3 linked regions of the Arabidopsis thaliana genome follow. The protein of the gene in region 1 binds, or shares a complex with, the protein of each later gene. Each region holds a gene or a part of one and is shown on either strand. Other genes may lie near its edges.

Region 1 (8,212 bases):
TTCTTCTTCTTCTTCTATGGATAGTGGATAAGAAAAAGAGTGAGAGATGAGATTAGCTACGGAGCAACCCACCACTAAACTTAGTGGACCTGTGGGACCCACACTGCTTATGAATTTTGTTGTGAAAAAAATACGCGCTACGGTAACGCGTGAGGATCTATTTTTCCTTCTTTTTTTGTTTATTTTGTTTATTTTGTTAAATACATCCGGTTCGATCAAACCGGCGATTTCAATTTTGACTTGAGAATTCAGATTAGAGCATAGCCGATCATTGGTGTTGAGTTCTTCTCTCTTTTTTTTCTAGCAGTTTGCCCTTTCAATGCTCTAGCAGTTTGCTTTTACATGTCTCAAGATTAGTAGTAGATCTACAGATGCGAGGAGAAAATCATCAACGGATTTGTTTTTTTTCCACACAAAGGAACAACAAAATCTTGAAAATGTTGAGAGAGATTGAAAACAAATAAACATGATACATAATCAGAAAACAAACACAATTCCCAAACAGTCTCCTCTGCTAATATGCTATTGTTTTTCTCAGGTATCTTCCACTTGCGAGTGTAACACAAAGCTCGGAAATGTAGTTGTGATATCCCTGCACACAATATCAGATATCATGGTGTTAATAATACGTGATGCAGAAAAATTTGAAGTTGCATTGGCTAAACCTCGGGTTAGTCTTTGGTTTAGGAGCTCACTTGAGATACTGGAGAGTCATGTTCTTCAGAAGAAGAGGATGTCTAAAAACTAGGTCCATCCACTCTTCCTCATCGATCATCCCTTCATGTTTTGTGTCAGCTTGCACAAATGTCTGCCTCATAAACTCAAAAATCACTCTTCACTTCATATTCATCAGCTGCTTAAACTTAGTTGGCTATACTATAGACTAGAGTCGAACCAAAAAATAGAAGGAAGGAAAACACACCTTGTCGATTATACTCTCTACGATTTCGTCTGACTGGCTCATGCCGGACGCAGCAAGAGTAGCCACCACCAGTTGTTTCACCCCCTGCCTTTCGATAAAACCTTGCTGCTTAAGATCATATAGCTGAAACGAAACTGCCAAATAATGTTCCAGGTAACCGTTAATAAGCTTTCATGGAATATATATAGGTAGCATGTGAACAGTTTGTTTGTAGATGGTTAATATATCGGGTCTAGTTTTTGAGATCAGAGACGTACGGTCAATTTTATCATCTATAGGAGCAGATGGATGAAAGACAGAGAGAGCTCGGGCAAACTCCTCAAACCCAAGTAATCCATCATGATTTGTGTCGAACAAATCGAAGACCTGTGTGATAGGGTAATGTCATTGTTTGCAAATGGATTACAAAGACTTTTTTTGTTGAGAACAAAAATAAAATACCCTCTCTGAAAACAAGCTCTCATTTTTGTCAGTCTGGAATATGGCTACATGAAACTGTTCCTGATACAACAGAAATACAACAGGACACGTTATGGAAAATCTGTAAGACTTGTTGAAAAGAAGGAGTGCGTGGCAAGAAAGACATATATATTTATATATAATTCCAAATACCTTGTTCATTTCACCATAATAACACGTTACGCCTTCTACAACGTTACCCTGAACGAAGAAACACAGATTTATATCATATGCGTACTTAGCAAGAAAGTTACATATAATTTATACGAACCTCGTTTCTTTGGCAATCAACACCGCTGAGTTTCTTAAACACCTCATAGAGTGCCTTTCGCTTTTTCTGATCCGTAAAGCATCCCGTGGAGTTGGAAGAAGCTGAATTTCTTGTTGAATCCATGGAGAGTCGTGTAGATAGAAACTTTTTAGCCAAGAAAGAGAGAACAAATCGATGATCAAAAAAAGAGATTGTCAACGCGCTCTGATACCTATTCAGATCTTTGAGACAGGGAAAACATATATATTAGGAAAGACCGAAAGAGTAAGTAATTTATTCCTCAAAGTAAACGTGTTTATGCAGAACACAATCGTCACTAACTTTGCTAATTACTTTGTCAACTCTAACTGACAAAGTCAACCACAAGACTAACAAATCCGATTGTTGTAATGTTGCATCCGGTTCGATCAAATCGGTGATTTCAATTTTGACTTCAGAATTCAGACTAGAGCATACCCGATCATTTGGTGTTGGGTTCTCTCTTTTTTGCTCTCTATTATCACTTCATCAGTTTGCTCTTTATTAATAGGATTCATGTCTCAAGGTTAGTAGTATATCTACAGATGCGAGGAGAAAATCAGCAATCAAAATCAGGAGTAGCAAAAATACAGATTTGTTTTCTTTACTTTTAATTCACACAAGTAACAACAAAATCTTGAAAATGTTCAGAGAGATTGAAACAAATAGACATGATACATAATCAGAAAACAAACACAATTCCCAAATTGTCTCCTCTGCTAATATGCTATTGTTTTTCTCAGGTATCTTCCACCTGCGAGTGGAACACAAAGCTCGGAAATGTAGTTGTTATATCCCTGCACACAATATCAGAGATCGGTGTTAATAATAACACAGAAAAAATTGGAAGTTGCATTGCCTAAACCTCGGATAAGTCTTGGTTTAGGAACTCACTTAAGATACTGGAGAGTCATATTCTTTAGAAGGGAAGGATGCCTGAGAACAAGGGTTCTCCACTCTTCCTTATCGATCCTCCCGTCATGTTTTGTATCAGCTTCCTCAAATGTCTGTGAAAGAAGAAACTTAGAAACCACTCTTTACTTTATTCTCAACTGCTATCATGAGTTGGCTATACAACAGTGGAACAAGAATATAGTATCGAGCAGGGTAGGAAGGAACCACACCTTGTCGATTATACTCTCTATGATTTCGTCTGACAGGTTCATGCCGGACTCAGCAAGAGTAGCCACCACCATTTGCTTCACCTCTTGCCTCTCTATGAAACCTTGCTGCTTAAGATCATATAGCTGAAACGAAACTGCAAAACAATGTTCCCGGTAACTGTTAGTGATATTTCATGGGTTACATGTAGCATGTCAACATCAGATAAATTGTATAGATGGTTTCTCAGATCAACTTTGTAAGATCAAAGACGTACAGTCAATCTTGTCTTCTATGGGAGCATTTGGATGAAAGACAGAGAGAGCACGCGCAAACTCCTCAAACCCCAGTATTCCATTATGCTTTGTGTCAAACAAATCGAATACCTGTGATTGGTACTGTCAAGTTATCTTTCAAAAAGGATCTTGGCAAATGGATAACAAAGTCTTTTGATTAAAAAAGAAGAACATACCCGGTCTGCAAACAAGCTCTCTTTTTTATTTGTCTTGAACAAGGCTAACTGAAATTCTTCCTGAACGACAAGACAGGTCAAGGAAAATCAGAAAAGGATGTCCAAAAGACGTAGCAATATGCATGATTCGTGAGGAGTATAAGTGAGTGGCATAAAAGACATATAATGATGCCCTTCCTTCATACCTTGTTTATTAGCCCATCATCAATCACAGCACTGCTGATTTTCTTAAACAGCTCATAGAGAGCCTCTATTTCACTCACGCTAACTGCACCCAAACGAGTCAATGATCAAAACACAGAAAGAAAGATTTGCATTCCTCTTAACAGAGAGCATCAACTAGAGTAATGGCAAGCCTTTGAATCATACATATAACTGGAAAAAAAAAGTGCATGGAAGTTAAAATAAGATGGAAAAGAAGTTGAGAGCATACAAACTGTCTCTCTCGCAAGAAGTTCAGGGTCACCAAGGCCTCCAGATTGTTTGTAAATATCGATATCAAAACACCGGAAAAAAGAGGAGCATACATGCTTGAAACCGTCTATGCACTGCGACATGATATATCTTGTAAATCAAAACTCTCCATGCCTGTTAAATAACAATAAAATGTAAGAACTTTCGAACCACTTGGAAGAATCTAAAGACATATGCATTTGAACAAGATAAGTACCTTTTAACCATTTCCTGGTTCGTCAAATAGGCAATGCTTTGTACACCTCAAAAAATTCTGCGATGGGAAGGAAATGAGATATAGTCAGTTATTAGCTCATCAAATTGCAAAACAGTTAAAGAAGAATTGACAGGAGCAAACAAGATTCATCATTCTCAGATCAGATCTGAATTAGACTAAAGCACCAGATACTATGAAACACAAACAGAGGAGACGCATATTATAAACGGTCGTAAACTTTATGCATTAATCTTAACTCCAGATTCATTTCCAGATTAACCAATGTATTCATGGATTAGGAACTATCTTTAAGCTAAAACACGAAACCCAAATCTAAGAAACAGCCCCAAAAAATACATGAACTAGGATAAAATGAGGAATCAAAAACACCCAATTTCACGTCAGAAATGCATCATGAATTTTGCGGGGAAAAAAAATGCATCATGAAGAACATAATAAAACTATCCAGACGGATTAATCGTCAGAAAATATAATCCTCTGAGGATCGACACCTGAATCTAATCGCGATATGAATCAGAGAAGTGATTAAGCTAAGGAGAAATGACGGATATGAGAAAAAGCGATCCAATGAGTTTTAGATTCCAAATCGTTCGGATTCAGAGATACAACAACGATGAATCTCGTTATATAAACTTGGTAATCAGCTCATGGATCTATCAGCTTGCGAAGAAATTAGTTGCTTGATTCTCAATCTCAAATTTTAACTTGTTTCCCATCGCGATTTTCCCGGAATAAACACACGAGATTACGAGGAAGCGACCGACCGCGAAATCGTAGAAAAGGGAGAAAGAGAAGAAGAAAAAGCCTTACGCCACGGCGGATGATGAGCCTTCCTTGCGGCGGCTCCGGCGGTTGAAGGTGACGGTGGTTGCGGTGGAAAACGCGAAAAAAGCTCTTATTGGGTAAGTGAGAGAAAAAAGGTCGACACGATTTTCTATAAGCAGAATGAATATATTGCAAAATTTTAAATATGCTAAGAAAAAGACCAAATTATTTTTGTTTGTTGGCGTTTTTATACTTTTTAAATTTAAAAAATAAATAATTTTGTTTATTTTTACTCGATGTTGATACAGTTGTAATAAAACTCCTTGTTACATTCACTTTCACACGTCGTCGTCTAGTGGAGCATGTGTCCATTTATGCGCTGTCTTAAACACCATCGTTTCAATAATCGTTCCTATACGACGGCGTGTCATGTTATTCGGATTCTGACTGTTGCTTTGGTCTGATTTGGTCTCTGGGTTTGAATTCGGTTTAAATTGTCTTTGGAAAAAATATTATAGCAAAAACCAGTATAAGCTTAGTTACATTAACCAACAATTAAAACTTTGATTAATGGTAAGAGAGGGACAAACTCTACTGGTAAAACAACAGATTGATCATGTTTTTTAACTTTTTTTTTAGGTAAAATTACAGTTACTGGTGAGCTACTTTGTACACAAGAAAAAAAAAGGAATGATAACGACATTCACACAAGTAAACGTGTTTAGGCGGCAACAGAAAAAAAAAAAAACACATATATGGTACTTGGTCAGAGATTCAATCTTGTGACTCATGTATTGTTTTGATTTTTCAGTTAGGGAGATCTTGTTTGCAAAGAGGACAACACGAGATGATACGAAGCCATTGATCTACGCATTTGAGGTGAAACCTATGCGAACATGGAAGCTTTCTCACTTCTTCTTTCTCTTTGTACTTTGCCAAACATATACAACATTCCTGCAATAATGAAACCGGTGGGTTTCAGTTTTGATATCAAGATTGATTTCTGACTATTTGACCTATTTCAGAATTCAAATTAGTGCTTACCGGATCATTGTTTGCTTGAGAAGAATCAGAAGTTTCATCAATGAGTTTGTATTTCCAACTTGGGAGACTGGAGATCTGGTCATCTGAAGCTCCTTTTTCCGAAGATCCAACGTTCATGTTGTAGCCGAGGAAGCTACTAACGAGAGGTACAACACAACAGAGCAGGAGGAAGAGAAGAAATGGGAAGGAGTAACAGAGAGCGTTCCAAGCGAGTAGGGAGATGCAGAGGACATGAAGGATTGGAGCATAGTGGAAAGAACCAAACCGAGAATCAAAAACCCATACATTACCTATCACAAACCATATCGCAAAGAATAGCTCCAGCGATGTCCGGCATTTGTTCATCAAATGCGAGCACCTAAAACACACACAAAAATAAGTCATTTTCCTAGAAATCTTTGCATTTTATGATCAAACTTGAAAAAACTAGATTTTTGTTAGTAACCTGGTGGTCTCTTCCCTGCTTCTTTGTTGCTGCTCAATATCGCCGAAGCTAAATGCATTTTCATGGCTAGTATCTTGCTGACGATACCGACCGTATAGTAACATAAGATTGAGCAGACATCCAACGTTGTAGCCAGTGATCCATAACCTCATCGGCCAAACAGGCCTCTCGTTTTTGGACAAAGCTAGTGTGGATGTTATCACAGTGATCTGTAAAAGTAAAGCGATGAGCTCTGATACCATCCAAGCGATAGAATTGAAAGGATTGGTGCCAAGATCGGATCTTGAGGCGTTCTGGTAATGAAAGACTCTTCTCAAGAAAATGAACCACCTTGCTCTAGATACCCTCATGGCAAGTCTCATGAAGAAGGAAGAAGATGGAGAGCTCTCCGGAGCCGTGTGAGTGTTATCATCCAGTTGCGTGGAAGCGAAGGAAGAAGATGAGGAGACAGTGATGGAGTTAATGGCTGATGATTGCAACTGAGAGGAATAACGGGTACTCATATCGGAAACAGAGAGGTCTTTGATTTGATCTCCTGAACAAGAGCAAAGAGAAACAGAGTAAAGCTTGAGCTAAAAAGCCATGAAAAGTCTTTAAAATATGCAATTAAAGTACATGTAAAAAAAAAGACATGGATGGATATATCAGTGAGGCATTTTCATCAAATACCTTATCTTCACTCTGCGAAACAGAGCAACATACCAAAAAGTGTAGGTTTTGGTGTGAACCCAGCAGATGGAGAAGATTTTGGTAAAAAAATAGTGAAGATAGAAGAGATGAAGAAGAAAGGAAGGTGTAGTGATATTGTCAGAGAAGGTGAAGTTGGCCGTTTGATAGTGACGTCCACAAATGGATTTTTGCTTAGGATTGAAGAATGCAGAAGAAGCAGAGAAGTAGGAGAACATAAACCGTTGGCCTATAAAACCTAACAACCTTAGTTTTTTGTCTTCGAAGCAAAACTCCGACAGCAACCGCTGCTGCTTTATCTATTCTCGTTTTTTTTTTGGTTAGACAACGCCATCTCTCCTCCCTCTCTCCCTCTCTCCCTCTACGCAAAGCCAAATATTTATAAGAAAATCATTAAACATAAAAAAATTCAAAATCCAGTATTGGGCCGGGTTGGGCCGCGTAAACGGGTATCCAAATTAGAGGGTCGTTGAACTGAGTCTGACTCACTGAGTTTTGTGATCGAGTCAAACAAAGGTGAGCTTGGGAAATAATGGCGTAGCTCTACTAGCTCAAGTTTGAGCTCTCCCATAATGAGTACATCAAGCTTGTCCTCCATCTCCTGCCTCCTCTGGAGATCTCTCTCATGATGACTTCGAAGGTTTGAAAAACCTAACTATGAATCTTAGGATCTGATTACGTTTGACATGTACGTTAAATTGCACAATTTAGGAGTTTTCCTGAGTTCAATAGAAGGTGACAAATTTGGTTCTTGATTGCTTGAAATTGACAGGAACGGAAGTTGTTCACAGATCTTAGTGTTATTCAATTAGAAAAAGATGGAAACTTTTAGCCTTGTTTTGCTTTGTCCTGAAATTATACTCTCTTTGATTGAAATTTGTGTTAGAGCTATCATCTTTGGGTGTTCTTAATTTGCAAACCATTTTTTACTTTATCACTTAAACTCTCACAAAGTCTTTACGCATTATTATTATTATGGCCACCAAACGACTTTGCAGTAACTGTCCCTCACCTGCAGGTATGAGAAACTACAGAGATAATGTTAAACTGCAACAAGGTTTTAGAACACCGGGCAGCCCTTAGCGACGATCCCTTTCTCTGTTGGGCAATTTGCCAAAGGGCAATGGTCTGTGTTCTCATTCCCCCACCAATCTGGTAAGCTTATGTTATTGTTCTGTAACGCAAAGTAGATCAACACTCCCATAACCGCAGTGCCTGCATCAAGAGCTGCAGAGAGGATGTAGTTATGCCTTGCCCACCATCCCTTGTACCTCCTGAAGATATAGTAGTTGAACACGATCCCAACAGCGAACCACGACCAGTAATGCACAGCCTTG
Region 2 (6,871 bases), on another chromosome or scaffold:
CAGGCTGATGTCCATTTCAGCGATTACTAATAATTGTGAATATGACCCTTTTCTATGCTTCTCTTACCCTTTATGGTCAACACATACTTTTCTTTTGTCCCTATGCAGACAAAAAATAACACACCTGCAGCCCAAGGAAAATGTATTACTCGCCTGTTGCTTTATCATTTCTCCGTAAACTTGCCCCTGATGTTGGCCTCCTACCCTGTCTTCCGAGCCATGGGAATGCGAAGCAGTTTTCCTCTGCCGTCCTGGTATTGATCTTAAACTCGTCCATTTGGCAATAAAAAGAAAGAAAAACATAATCAAAAGATGTCAGTGTTGAGCATCATGAAAGAACCTGAGCTCATGTTTGATCAGGTATATAAGACCCTCTTTGGTGATGGTCCTGCAGGAAAGAAGTGTCTGCCCAGATATTATTCTACTTTATCATTGAGGATTTTGTCTTCTATTGGGGTCATCGGATCTTGCATTCAAAATGGCTGTACAAGAACGTGCATAGTGTGCATCATGAGTAAGTTTCAATGTTCACCATTTTTTTTTTCAGTCTTGATACTTGAAACTGTGAGTTTCTGAAAAGCAACCATTTCATGATATCACAGATATGCCACACCATTTGGTTTGACATCAGAATATGCTCACCCCGCTGAGATTCTATTTCTGGGTTTTGCTACCATAGTCGGTCCAGCTCTTACTGGCCCTCACCTAATTACTCTCTGGTTATGGATGGTGTTGAGAGTGCTGGAGACAGTTGAGGCACATTGTGGTTATCATTTCCCATGGAGCCTCTCAAATTTTCTTCCTCTGTATGGAGGGTAAGATCACACATCTAGCCAGCTCTTTTGAAACTTAAAACCATAAGACATTTGTATTAATAGATTTTACTATTATTATTTTTGTGATTTGGTTACAGTGCTGACTTCCATGACTACCATCACCGACTGCTATACACAAAGTCCGGAAACTACTCTTCAACTTTTGTGTATATGGACTGGTGAACCTCTGAACTTGTTTAATATCTCTTCGCTTTCCAGAACAGATCTTTAGTTGTCCTGATATTAATATCCAGTGTATAATTCGTCTCTGGTGTTCTTCAGGATCTTTGGTACTGACAAGGGGTACAGAAGACTGAAGACCCTTAAAGAAAACGGTGACATGAAACAAACGTGAAATTGCCACTTTGGATTGCAGAGTACATTTGTCTTAGAGAGGTCTTATTCTGCAACCTCTCCTTTTCTTTAACATTTTGCTTTCAGGTTGCTGCAACGCTCATGTGTCTTAGTTTATTATGTCTGACTAGAATTGCTGCTCGTGTGGCCTATTTGAAAAAACATATGGTACTTCAACTCAGTATGTGTTTAGGTTGGGCAATTAAAACATTTTGTATGGGTCATCTATTTGAAGCTTAATATATCCTTGTCTCATTTTTCTGTATCAAGTTTAGATGTTGCGCTACCAAATTTTTGGGTAGGTTATAGCCTTATAGGATTCAGATGAAAATATAATACCCCAAAATTCTCGGCCCAAATGCTTTGGGAGTGTTGGTTCGATTTTCCTTCTTAATAAAATTCTTACATTACATGACAGGTAAGTTAATTTTGATTTTCCATCAGACCAGTGATCATGTTTAGATAAAACAGTCTGATTAGGTTCATATTCAGATCTCAATCAATTACCCGACACCGACACCGACACGTACGAATGCGCATATTAACATATGCATCGTTCCGGTGTGTCACATCCTCTTTACGTGGTGTAGGGTTTCTACTTTTACCTCTTCGACACGTACTCCGTCCTCTTCCCAATTATCTTCTCTCTCTTTTCGTTTCCGTGAGATTTTGAATTTCTTCCAACACCAAAAAGGCCCACTCGTTTATAGAGATTTTAAAATCTTTATCAACAAACTGAAAATTCCCGGTGATGTTCTCAAAGATCACCACGCGTATCCGAGTTAATTGGTTTGCTTTAAAAGCCAAGAAAACATATACATACTTTTTTATTAATTGAATTCTGAACTGATTCCACCTAGACAGTGACACATTCCGGCTTCCTTTTCTGTTTGTTCATTACACACCGAAAAAAGGCAAGAAAAAAAGGTTCAGAACAAAAAAGACCCAACCATACCCGGTTTAACCGCTTTCAGTAAACCGGGGTTTTTTTTTTAGACCTAATGCTTTTTTTTTCTCTCTTTTGGGTTCAAAGATTTGAGCTACCTTCGTCCCAAGGTAAAAGAATCATTTTAAACAACACAAAAAACGGTGGAGTAAGAGTGATGAGGAGATTAGTGTCAAGCAACGTGTCTCTTTCTTCTTCTTCTGAGATCAATAACGACGACGCTTACGTTGTCACTACTGTGTTTTGCCAACGCCAGCTTCGTCAGCAATACTGACGCCTCCGTACATGCTTTGTCCGTGATCTCTCCTCTCTTCCCGTTCTTTCTTGACCCCACCACCTTCTCCTCTTCTTCTTTCCCTTCTTCTTCACTCCTCCTCCCCGGAGTCTGTGTTTCTCCTCGCCGTCTTCCACGACCACTTTTTCTGTTGAGACACATGCGCACCATCGTACACGCTGCCTCGTTCGTCACTACGTCCCATAGCCCGTCCGTCGCTAGAATCAGAAACTCATCTTCCTCAGTCCGATCCGTAACCGTCACTTCCGGCTCCGAAGTGACGTACGGTTTTAAATAATTGTCTCCTATGGCTCGTGACATGGCTAAAACGCCTAAGACTCTTGCACCGTCCCAGTATATCACTCGTCCTCCTGCTTCTTGGATTCGATCCAGCTCATCCGGACGATCAGGCTGTTCATTTTCAAACGTAAACAAGAGTTAAAATCCACTAAATCAAACAAATCAAGAAAGAGTTAGAAAGAGATAAAGACTGACCTTATGATCTGTAGAAAGAGGTACTGCTTTACCATTCCTACAAAGAACTGCTCTTGAGTCACCGCAATTCGCAACAATGATCTTCTCCGGCGTAATGACGGAGACAACGGCGGTGGATCCAACAGCGTCACAGTCCGGCGTTTGAAGCTCACACCTACAATTAGCACTCATCACAGTTTCACCCCAACGAACAACCTCTTTGTCCATACGTGTGAAGCTACGCTCCATCATCTTCTTCCATTCTTCTTTCTTATCCGACAACGCTTCTTCTTGCACTAACTCGTGAAGTCTCTCTTTACACCTAGCCGCAACCTACAAAAACGACATCGTATATTTCAATCAGGCAAAACCGTAAATATATCAATAATTTTGAAATTTTCAAATTAGGGTAAAACGGCGTCGTACGTGAGAACAGCCATGGCCGTCGTAAACACCAAAATAGTGCCATCTTGTTCGAGAAAACTCCGTTTGTTTCCGTACAAAAGACGGATGTAACGCAACCGCATCTTCCATATCTCTTCTTCTCCCGCACACCGATGCGACGCCGTATCTCGGCCTCAGATCCGTCTCTTTAACCGTCTTCTTCGACGGAATAACTGCAACATCATTAACCGATGAATTTCCATCGGAGATAGAGACGTCACTGTCTTCAAGTGATACACTCTCTTCTTCAGGAGAGCTTTGAGAAGGTGACGACGATGCACAGTTCATAAAATCGTACTCTTCTTGTTTATTTCGCTTATTATAAATCCCTTCAGATTTATCCTCCTCCTCCGTCGTCGACGCCGTGGGATTCATCTCCGACGGAGACATCCTGAATCGCTGGACACCGATCCTCCACTTCCGGCTAGACCACAACGGTCTTGATTCACAAGCCGACGTCTCGTCTTCATAACAAATATCCGCCATAACTCGATCGCCGCCTCTACTAAATATTCCGGTAACGAATCTTTTGAACGTCAATTAATTTCCGACGAAATATCTCTCTCCAAAATTTATTTTATGTTTATTACAAAAACAAAAAAAGAGTCGAATAGTGTTTCTTTTTTTTTTGGTTATACCACGCAGTTGAATAAATATCATCGTTACACGTTACAAAGCGTGCCCATTTATATACCCATGCGGCCTACCGCTTCATTAAACATTTTAAAATTCCTTTTTCTCTTCCTCGTTTTCAAATTACTTTTAACTTTTGATTTTTCTCCCTCCGCCTTCAAAAAATCTTTTACTCTAGCGACGTGACGTGTTGGTCTTTCGTCTAAATTAGAATCAATCTTGACCGTTGATCTGGTCACTATAGTATCTAGAAATGGACCACGTAAGCATCACGATCAGGTGGAGATATACGTGGCCCAATGACAAGGCAACAGAGGGGAGGAGGAAGTTCCTTTCGCGCCACGATTGTGGTCCACTTCTTTCTCAGGAAGACCTTTTTTGTCCAAATTGTCTCTGTGTCTCCCTTAAAGATAAAATATCTATCTAATCAACGATTTTTTAATTTTAAAGAATCCCATTACGTTAGTTAAATTTTTATTGTAGTTAACCTTAATTTGATCTAAATTAGGTCAACTTTTCAAGACTAACGAATTAAGTACGAAATTGTATACAGCGATTTTGCGATCATCTCATTAAAGAATTTATATACTGTGAACTAAAATTAGGTTACACTAAGACACGTACGTTAACTTTTCATATGAAAATTCTTTAGTTTTGTTTTTATGTAACCTTTAACATCATATTACGTTATTTCGGTTAACACTTAAAAGGTGCTTGGGAATTGTTTAGCTAAATCCTCTGTAGGCTGGTTTGGACTAAAATTTCTAACATATTAAGACCAGAGCTTTTTGTAGTGTTAAAAAAAAAAAAAAAAAATCTAACATCATAACTAATGATTTTGATATGAAAGCTTATGATATTTTTTACCAAAATATGCTTGTAATATTTTTGTCTTGTCGTGTTTAAAACATTTGCAAAGAAAGTGTACTAGTAATCTCATACCAAAATCATTTAATTGATATATAAAATAAAGTTATAACCATTTACCTAATTAAAAATGAAAGAAGTAGCGTGCATATATCCATAATTTTATCCGGATCTCCTATAAATTAATACATTGATTCGTTGCAGAAGTTAAGATTGAATTCAGAGTACTAATACATCATTTTTGAATCAGACCAAAAAGATTCTCAGCACTCAAAAGCATTGCGTTCAGCATTTAATAATAATTATAGTTAGAGTACGTACGGAGAGAAAGAAATTTAACTATAACGTATATAAGATTACAAATACAATCATGAATTTAAGTCCAAATCTGTCTCCATCAATTGGATTTGATATAAGCACCAGATCAGCTAGATTTCACGCAACTAAATCTCATCTGTTTAATTACCTGTAAAGCTGTAGTTACATTCATGATTACCTAAATAATCCTCGAGTAATTAAAAATTGAGGCCTCCCTAAAGTCACTATGAAGTAGAAAGTGAAAAATGAAAAAGCCGTACAGAGGACACGTAATTGTCTTGGAATGAGGAGTTATATTGTTAACCGTTAAAAGCCACAAAACAAAAATAAAAAGAAGATAGAAAAGGCTTTTTGGTGAAGCAGTGGCCCAACCATTTACCTCTACGTTTCTCCTTTGTTTCCATTCCGGCGAGTGGGTCTCACCTCCTTTATAACGGAATCTGAGGGCTCTCTTTTCCTCCACCGTACACGTGTTACCATCGTAGCTCTTATGTTTGGATATTTACCGACTACTGTTGCAGTGAAGTTAGGTCACTTTGTCTCTCACACACTCTACTCTCTCCAGTGAACGATGACAAGCTTTAATGTGTCTCTCAAGTCTCAACTGTAAAAAAAAGAAGCTAATTGGTGTTGCAAATGTAAACATTGCATAAGATAACGTTTCGCTTATAAATGAATAACTGCAAGTCTGCAAAATCATTTACTTTTGAAATAATAATACGTACTACTCACGGGGGCGATCGATATATAGTTTGTGTTTCTACGTTTTGATCAACAACAAAAAATTTGATCATCAAATTCCGTACTTTAAACAAAAACATTTTATCATGCTCATGTCATGTATAGGCAGTACTCTTCTATTGGTTGTTTTCAAGATCTCAAGCTCTCATTTGGCTTGTCTTCTTCATGGAAAATCAGTACTTCATTAATTACATCCACCCTATTAAAAGCAAACATTAATTGATGTACCACCTACAATTTTTTTTTCATCTTTAATTTGGTTTCGCAACACTTAAGTGCTACTACAATCATGAATCAATAGTTTTGCTCATGATCTAGCAATAAGGAAAAAAATGAGTTTGGGAAAAAGTAAATAGCATTGTGTGAATAAGACCATCATCGCTCATCAGAAACTAAAATAAGATATTTGTGATGAGTGTTACTGATCAAATCTCATTAAAATGGAAATGGAGAGGATTAAATGGGCCCTCTCGTTCGTGTACCCACCGATCCAACCAAAATCACTGTAATTGAATTGACTCCCAATAGTCCAATACTGAAGGTGCTAGAATCATGCATTTGGTAGGTGACAAAATCATTCAGTTTCTGTTTTTGGAATATAGCGTATGAGTTATCATGACCTTACAATTAATATATGGATTTGATAAAGTTGGTATTATTTTAGTAGAAATATCCAAAGTTTAGTGTGCATGGTGGCAATTGGCATGCACCTCGACCTAGGCCTACGATACATCCATGTGTACTTACGTGGTCATTTACTTTCTGTTTTTTTTTTTTGCTGCAACACTTCTCGTTTAATTTTAGGTTCTTTGAACTTTTGAACTTAAATTGGAATTTGAAATAAAGTTAAAAAGTTAAGAAAAAAACAAATAACCAATTTACTTACATTCATTGCATCGTGACAACTAGTCGTAATGGTGGAAGGTCAAGAAGTTGTTTTTGCTTTTGGACAATATATTACATATTTTGAATATAATATGGAGTGTTTAATGTTGGAATTAGTAT
Region 3 (7,569 bases), on another chromosome or scaffold:
TTAATCCCTAGTTTCCTTTGTAAACATATAATTTATGTCTTTTGATTCATGCGATCATATATTATCTCATTTTGCGTGAATAAGATGTTAAGGTCATGATATTTGCATTATAAGAATGAGTCGTTGCTTTTCTTGTTATTTAAATGGTTTGCTCGTACATCTTTATTCCATGAGGTGCATGATTAGCTTATTATTTAACAAAATAGGTATATGTTAGTATATAATTAGTTGTACTTACATTTTTTCTACATTTTATATGTATATATTTGATTCCATGTTACATTTGTGTACATGAATATTGCGAGAATATTCTTTTAGGTGTTTTTATGGTTAGATTAACTTGAGAACATGTTCCCTGGCAACTGCATCTCTCAAACACACATTTTGTATGCAAAACTAATACAGCAGCCAATAATGTATGAGTTTGTTGAATAGGTAGCACAAGTTGATGTGTCATGTCTTCCCACTTTTGTACTGTTAATACTGTTGAATTTTTTTGGTGTTTGTCGACAAAATATCAATACTACAATTAATTTTTGTCCTACTGTTACACCTTTTAGTTTTAACTTGGGTAAGTGAGTCGTTGGACTAAAAATCACGATGATTATGTGGTCAAATATGTGTATCTTGGTGTATATTTGTATTTTCTGTGATTAAGATGATTGCATCTTTAAGACATATTTGTAGCTTTAATTGAAGTCAATACTGATATTTCTGAAGAGATTGGGAAATTTGGAAGACATGGAATATTGGTGAACTTTGTTTCTGACTTTAATGATTTCAGAGTTGTTGGTTCCAGCTTTATTAGTTCGCTTCATTTCATATATTCAAAAAAAAAAAAAAACTTTCCTTTCTCATCAAATCTATTGATAGTTCTAAAATAAAACGCAAAATCAAACACATTTGTACATCATTTTAATAAAGAATGTTCAAATGAGAGTAATGTGTATTATATTGTAACATGGAAATGCAATTCTAAACGCAAACGACAAACTCTGATCGAAGAAATGTGTTAATTGATTAGGGAATTGTCACGGAGATATATGTAGGAAATCAAAATTGTTAACGAAGTGTCTTTCAAAATATATCTTCACAAATACACAGTTCGTAAATGCGTAATTATTTTTAATCTAACAGTTCGTTCTGTCACATGGATCTTTCAGACCAGTACAGTCGTCCTTTGCAAAGATTTATCAACTTTCTAACAAAAAGAGAAGCTACAGAAAGTAGAGAAAATTTTGTACTTTTGAAGTAAAGAAAAAAAAAAGAAGTAGACAAAATTGTGTAGGATTCTTCACGGTTTTTGCATTCTTCTTTATTACCAAGTCTTCAATATTTTCATTTCAATAAAACTTCCCCTTTCTTACAAAGAACTCTTATTTTCCATTTTTCTTCACATTTTTCCTTGCAAGATCACTCATTTTAATTTATGTAAATGATAGAATTTGAAGATCCATACTTCAGCAATCTGTTTTTCTTGGCATGTTGAGTTTTTATCAACAACACCAATTATTATTTTATTTTCTCTGGTTCAAGAAATTGTCTAAGCTCCATTCAAACATTCTGTACTTATATATAAAGTTTACATCATCACATATTGTGCATCAAATAGCAAAGGTTTTGGCAACATACATATAATATGAATCGTGCTTGTACACACACACACACTCATGTATATATATGTATTTATTGTTTACCCTTGAACAACATTTTTAGGTAAGGGGGTCTTCTATCATCAGGAAAACATAAGGTAGATGAGGTAACATCTTTAGATTCGTTCGAAGTAGAACTCCTATGCATTTGATCAAATTGTTTTCTAATTAAGTAATGCAACATTTAAACCATGTGCAGCACAAACGATGGCTTATTTAGGTGGATTTGCAAATCTTTTCACTCTTTAGGGCATATTCCAATCAACTACTGCTTGAAATTTGACTGATCAATGTGATGCAAAATTCACGGCATGGCTTGTTTTAGCAGCTAGTTTCGACAACCTAATCACCCGAAAATAACAAACAATCGGAAATGCAGCGCGATAAGTAGATATATGTCTGTGATCACCCAATTAGCCACAAAATAGTGTACTATGTTTGTGATGTTACCCTTTTACTCTTCAATTTTAAATACATATCTCGTTATAGTATTTTTTTTTTTTTTTTTTTTTTTTTTTTTGGGTAAAACTCGTTATAGTATTTCGTTAGAGTATTAACATTTGTGTAAACATAATTGTTGTCATTAATCGTGGGTCCAAATCATGACACATCACAAAGTTTCTTGGACTTGTTATACATGTTCCTTAAAATGATTAGTTATATATTATCTTAATAATCCTGATCTTTAAATCGAACAAATTTAGATTTAGCTTCTTTTTTTTTTGTTAAAATTTAGATTTAGCTTTACAAGATGTACCTTTGATTATGATAGAGGAAAATAACAGTATCCCACCCAAATACACGGTTATAATGAGATTTTCATGTATGTAGAAAAATCATCAAATTGTAAGAAAACAATTGGAAAAATTGAGTGTGTTGTTTTGAGTAGCAAAATATGAAGAATCCATCAAACCAAGAAATTAGCAAAGATGTAGAAAGGAAGATTTGGTCGATAGATTCACGGACGTATTAGAAATGACCACTTTCCGATACAATCGTCCCAACTAGGAAAAGAGTCAAAGCTTTTCGAAAGAAATTAAAAATTCCTCTATGAAAAATAAGTCAAGAAATTGTTTTAAAAATATTTAAGGGCCAAGTAGAAAAGGTCACATCTTGCCTTACCAAAAAAAGACAGTTCATTGAAATTTTATCGGGACAAGTTTACTATTTTTAATTAATGCGTATCTACTTCAAAACATGCGTAGCATTAACGGCGATTCCACGTCAATTTCATGGCGTCCACAATTTTTGTATAAGGATAAGAGAGTTACTTTTATATTTTTAAAATCTATTCTGAAAACTTTAAGAACTTATTTACATGAATACATGGTCAGAAATGTGCGAGACCATTGTTTAACTGGTTAAAAAAAGGATTTATTTACATAGAAATGGATTTAAATCACCTGTTACACTTTTATTGAAATCATTCTCTTATGATCATTGCATCGTAACTCGAGATATTTATTTTTCATGCTTTAGTTTGTTAATTATATCTAGTTTTATCATGTTCTATAACCCTTTTTTAGGCACTCAACATAAATAGCAAACCCCGATTTAGTTCAATTCGCGAATCAATTTCGTCTTGGTTATTCTTTTGGCTTTGGTCGTATTTAATTATGCTAGCTGCCAGATCTTAGGCACATCACTTTGTTTAGATAAGATTAGAACATTTCTTCACAGTTCACTTAGTCGTCACATATCAAACAAAGTAGACAACATTATAAATAAAAAAATTCCACAAATAATTTCTGCTTATATATATAGATATGTAACCAAATCACAAAATTCCACATAATTAGTCTCACATATACTTGTAACTAGTCAGACAAAGACAATGGAAGAATCAAACCGTAGTAGTACTGTCTTGTTCGACAAATACAACATCGGAAGACTTCTCGGAACCGGTAACTTCGCCAAAGTGTATCACGGAACAGAGATCTCCACCGGCGATGACGTGGCAATCAAAGTCATCAAAAAAGACCACGTTTTCAAACGTCGTGGCATGATGGAGCAAATCGAACGAGAGATCGCCGTCATGCGTCTCCTCCGTCATCCAAACGTGGTCGAGCTCCGCGAAGTAATGGCTACAAAGAAGAAGATTTTCTTCGTCATGGAGTACGTCAACGGCGGAGAGCTTTTCGAAATGATCGATAGAGATGGGAAGCTCCCGGAGGATCTAGCCAGAAAGTATTTCCAACAATTGATATCCGCGGTGGATTTTTGCCACAGCCGCGGTGTTTTCCACCGCGATATTAAACCCGAGAATCTGTTGCTTGACGGAGAAGGTGATCTTAAGGTAACGGATTTCGGACTTTCCGCATTGATGATGCCAGAAGGGCTAGGTGGCAGGCGTGGTAGCAGCGATGATCTTTTACATACGCGGTGCGGGACACCGGCTTACGTGGCGCCGGAGGTTTTACGGAATAAAGGATACGACGGAGCTATGGCTGATATTTGGTCGTGCGGGATTGTTTTGTATGCACTCCTTGCTGGCTTCTTGCCGTTTATCGACGAAAACGTCATGACATTGTACACGTAAGTATTTCTTGACCAGGTTTTGGCCCAAACCGTATTTGTTTTTGTTATTTATTTGACGAATAGTGAGATACAAAAAAATATTGAACTAAAAGCCAAAGTAGTCCATTTTGAGTTGGGTTTCTAGATGCATCTCAATTTTACATCACATACTTATATATGTTAAAAAGAAATAATAATCATTTTTGGTTAAATAAAATATTATTTGAAAGAGACAGTTTAACTTGTACCAATAGATACAAAACTTGGATATAAGATATACTATTTGAAAGTTTACACACACAAAAAGAAAAGATATATAGTATTTGAATTATTTGTTCACGTAATTCAAATTTTAATAATTACTCAAAATTATACAATATTTTCCAAGATATTGAAACTATTATCAATTTGTGAATATTCGGGTGGTATTTTAGGTACATTAATCTGATATCAAATTCGATAAATGTTGGTCGATCGTATATTTCATTATAGTTCTATATTATCAAAATTTCACGTCCCGTATTTTACTAGATAATTTATAAAACTCCCGCCAATAATAACGGTCTCAAATAGTGCTCTTCTTACAAATTCAAATATTAGTATTGTTGAATGTGAATGTGAATTGATCAAATTCTCATTGTTGTTTCTTGTTTGATTGAACCTTTCGAAATAAACAGGAAGATCTTCAAGGCGGAATGCGAGTTCCCACCGTGGTTTTCCTTAGAATCCAAGGAACTACTCTCAAGATTGCTTGTGCCGGATCCTGAACAAAGAATTTCAATGTCAGAGATCAAAATGATTCCATGGTTCCGAAAGAACTTTACACCATCAGTAGCCTTTTCGATAGACGAAACGATCCCATCTCCACCGGAGCCACCAACAAAGAAAAAGAAGAAAGACCTAAACGAGAAAGAAGACGACGGAGCTTCACCAAGATCCTTCAACGCCTTCCAATTCATCACATCAATGTCTTCAGGTTTCGATCTCTCTAACCTATTCGAGATAAAACGAAAGCCAAAGCGGATGTTCACATCGAAGTTCCCGGCGAAATCTGTTAAAGAGAGGCTGGAGACGGCGGCGCGTGAGATGGATATGAGAGTGAAACATGTAAAAGACTGCAAGATGAAGCTGCAAAGAAGAACAGAAGGTCGTAAAGGAAGGCTCTCGGTGACGGCGGAAGTATTCGAAGTCGCTCCTGAAGTCTCTGTCGTGGAGTTCTGCAAAACCTCGGGGGATACGTTGGAGTATTACCTCTTCTGTGAGGATGACGTCAGACCAGCTCTTAAAGACATTGTATGGTCATGGCAAGGTGATGATGATGAAGACGATGTTACCACTAATGATAATGTTGACACAAATGATAACAAAATAAATAATGTTTCATGAGCTGTAATAATTCACTTTTTGGAATTGGATGTGCGAGGCGAGACTGTCTTATTGTGAAATTGCAAATGTATAAGAACATTTTTTTTATGATTAACAATAAAAATTACTTGGAGGGTTTGTACAATTGTCAAAAACTATTGAAGCAAAATTGGTTATATATGTTATGAACGTTCTATAGGTCATTAGTTCGAGTCTACTTCTCATTTTTTTTTTTTTTCAAGTGTTCAAAGCGAAGTAGTTTTGTTAATCTATATACAAACTTATACGGTTTACAAAATCTATACACGTTCAAGGGTTATATTGCGGATTACTTTTCAAATTCAATAAAATAATGTATATAAGATTAAGTAGGGCGGACTCACGTTGGTGCACCCACTAAACTATAAATATTTGAATTTTTACATAAGGAACTGTAACTAATCTAGTTTAATAAACACTTTGAAATGTAAGAGGTGAAGGGTTCAATGCTTTTTTTTGTAATATCATCTCCATCGTTGTTGATTGGATGTGCGCGAGCGAGATTGTCTTATTGTATATATAACACCATTTTTATAATATAATGTATATAACATTACCATTATACGCAAATTATTAAGCGATTAGTACAACTTAGAATGTAAGAAGGTATACAAGCAATAACCGGAAACTTTATGTCACAATTTACGGTTACTTTAACCATCAGTCTCTATATGCTCACTCATGAGCAAAAGTTTTTAAGCGGCAAGCAACTTCTGGATGTCTTTCTGCAAAACAGAAACAAAACGGTTTGGTTACAAACCGGGAATAGAACCGCTATGAACCAAATAGGAAGTAGTCCATTAGCCATACCTCGATTTGGAAAGGGGATGTGGTGGGAGGGTACCTCTCAACGACCTTTCCCTTTTTATCAATCAAGAACTTCTCAAAGTTCCATTTAATGAGACCACCCAAGAATCCTCCTGCGTTTGATTTCAAGAACTCGTAGATCGGCGCTGTGCTTGGTCCATTCACGTCAACCTGTCGAATTCAAACTTATTTAGAATCTGCAACCTGAAAATAAGAAGAATGAATGTTTTGGATTCTTTATACCTTATCAAATATAGGGAACTCTGCTTTAAACCGGGTGCAAGCGAATTGTTTGATCTCGGAGTTTGACCCGGGCTCTTGGAAACCAAACTGATTGCAGGGAAAAGCTAGAATCTCAAATCCTGTAATCCAAACAACAAGCTAGTATTACTAACTACAAATGCATGAGAAATACACGTTCATTGGCTTATTGCCTCCTAAATGATTAATGAACAGATCCGTACTTTCGAGAAAATTCTTTTAGCTACAGAGAACGGATGAGTGAGATTATCATCAATCAAACAAAGATGCTGAATTTGCTTGCAGTTCAACGTTACAGAACAATTTTATTTCCATAAATTAAAGTGAACTACGAGCTAGTAACATCGCTGTAGAAGAAGCAACAATAGAACCAAATCATATTGACACCACAATAATATAAAGATCTACAGAACAATTAAGTGAACACCAAAACACGAGGAATTTTCAGTAAGTAACCAAAATACCCACTGGTTGCAAACCGGAATAGATCACAATATGAGAGAACTAATTAGAACTCACCTTGAGTTTTGTATTTCTCGTACAGATGTGAAAGCTCTGAGTAATTTGATGATGTCAAACCACTGTATGTTCATAAAACACACAATCTTTAAGATTAGAAACCTCTACATGAACTGTCATCAAACACATCAAGAGGATGAAGAAGGAGAAGCTTACCATCTTGAAGCAACATTGACAATCAACATAACTTTCCCCTTGAATTTGTTCAAAGCAACATCCTTCCCATCAATGTCCTGCCTCCATAAAAATAACAATCTAATTATGTCTCTAATTGAAATCACTAACCTAAGTATAAATATACACCTTTTTTCAAAAAAAAAAAGTATAAATATACACTACGAAATTCAATAAAAATATGAATCTAAGTATGTATCAAGTTGAAATCACCATACACTTATGTCTCAAATTT

Evidence for each region.
Region 2: CBL3 (region 1) and HAI2 share a complex: the UniProt entries of both Arabidopsis thaliana proteins name them as parts of the K(+)-channel calcium-sensing kinase/phosphatase complex.
Region 3: CBL3 (region 1) and CIPK16 share a complex: the UniProt entries of both Arabidopsis thaliana proteins name them as parts of the K(+)-channel calcium-sensing kinase/phosphatase complex.

The regions. Positions count from the first base shown.
Region 1 is NC_003075.7:13,406,199-13,414,410, forward strand, and holds CBL3 (calcineurin B-like 3), read right to left. Parts: upstream 4,873-8,212; 5' UTR 4,426-4,872; intron 3,971-4,425; 5' UTR 3,914-3,970; intron 3,832-3,913; 5' UTR 3,801-3,831; coding exon 3,677-3,800; intron 3,512-3,676; coding exon 3,429-3,511; intron 3,304-3,428; coding exon 3,244-3,303; intron 3,170-3,243; coding exon 3,049-3,169; intron 2,929-3,048; coding exon 2,795-2,928; intron 2,678-2,794; coding exon 2,565-2,677; intron 2,468-2,564; coding exon 2,410-2,467; 3' UTR 2,224-2,409; downstream 1-2,223. Other genes in the region: CBL7 (calcineurin B-like protein 7), read right to left, coding at 535-592, 696-808, 923-1,056, 1,180-1,288, 1,364-1,423, 1,535-1,582, 1,653-1,775; AT4G26580 (RING/U-box superfamily protein), read right to left, coding at 5,507-5,653, 5,744-6,101, 6,189-6,691; OPT5 (oligopeptide transporter 5), read right to left, coding at 7,936-8,212. UniProt on the Arabidopsis thaliana protein: Acts as a calcium sensor. CBL proteins interact with CIPK serine-threonine protein kinases. Binds calcium ions. Binding of a CBL protein to the regulatory NAF domain of a CIPK protein lead to the activation of the kinase in a calcium-dependent manner.
Region 2 is NC_003070.9:2,278,864-2,285,734, forward strand, and holds HAI2 (highly ABA-induced PP2C protein 2), read right to left. Parts: upstream 3,966-6,871; 5' UTR 3,794-3,965; coding exon 3,290-3,793; intron 3,197-3,289; coding exon 2,885-3,196; intron 2,801-2,884; coding exon 2,288-2,800; 3' UTR 1,883-2,287; downstream 1-1,882. Other genes in the region: SMO2-1 (sterol 4-alpha-methyl-oxidase 2-1), read left to right, coding at 109-254, 395-514, 603-815, 914-994, 1,098-1,170. UniProt on the Arabidopsis thaliana protein: Involved in the negative regulation of the K(+) potassium channel AKT1 by its dephosphorylation, antagonistically to CIPK proteins (e.g. CIPK23). Functions as a positive regulator of abscisic acid-mediated cell signaling during seedling growth.
Region 3 is NC_003071.7:10,668,528-10,676,096, reverse strand, and holds CIPK16 (CBL-interacting protein kinase 16), read left to right. Parts: upstream 1-3,204; 5' UTR 3,205-3,486; coding exon 3,487-4,187; intron 4,188-4,846; coding exon 4,847-5,555; 3' UTR 5,556-5,687; downstream 5,688-7,569. Other genes in the region: GPX1 (glutathione peroxidase 1), read right to left, coding at 6,269-6,298, 6,384-6,551, 6,624-6,742, 7,161-7,222, 7,317-7,393. UniProt on the Arabidopsis thaliana protein: CIPK serine-threonine protein kinases interact with CBL proteins. Binding of a CBL protein to the regulatory NAF domain of CIPK protein lead to the activation of the kinase in a calcium-dependent manner.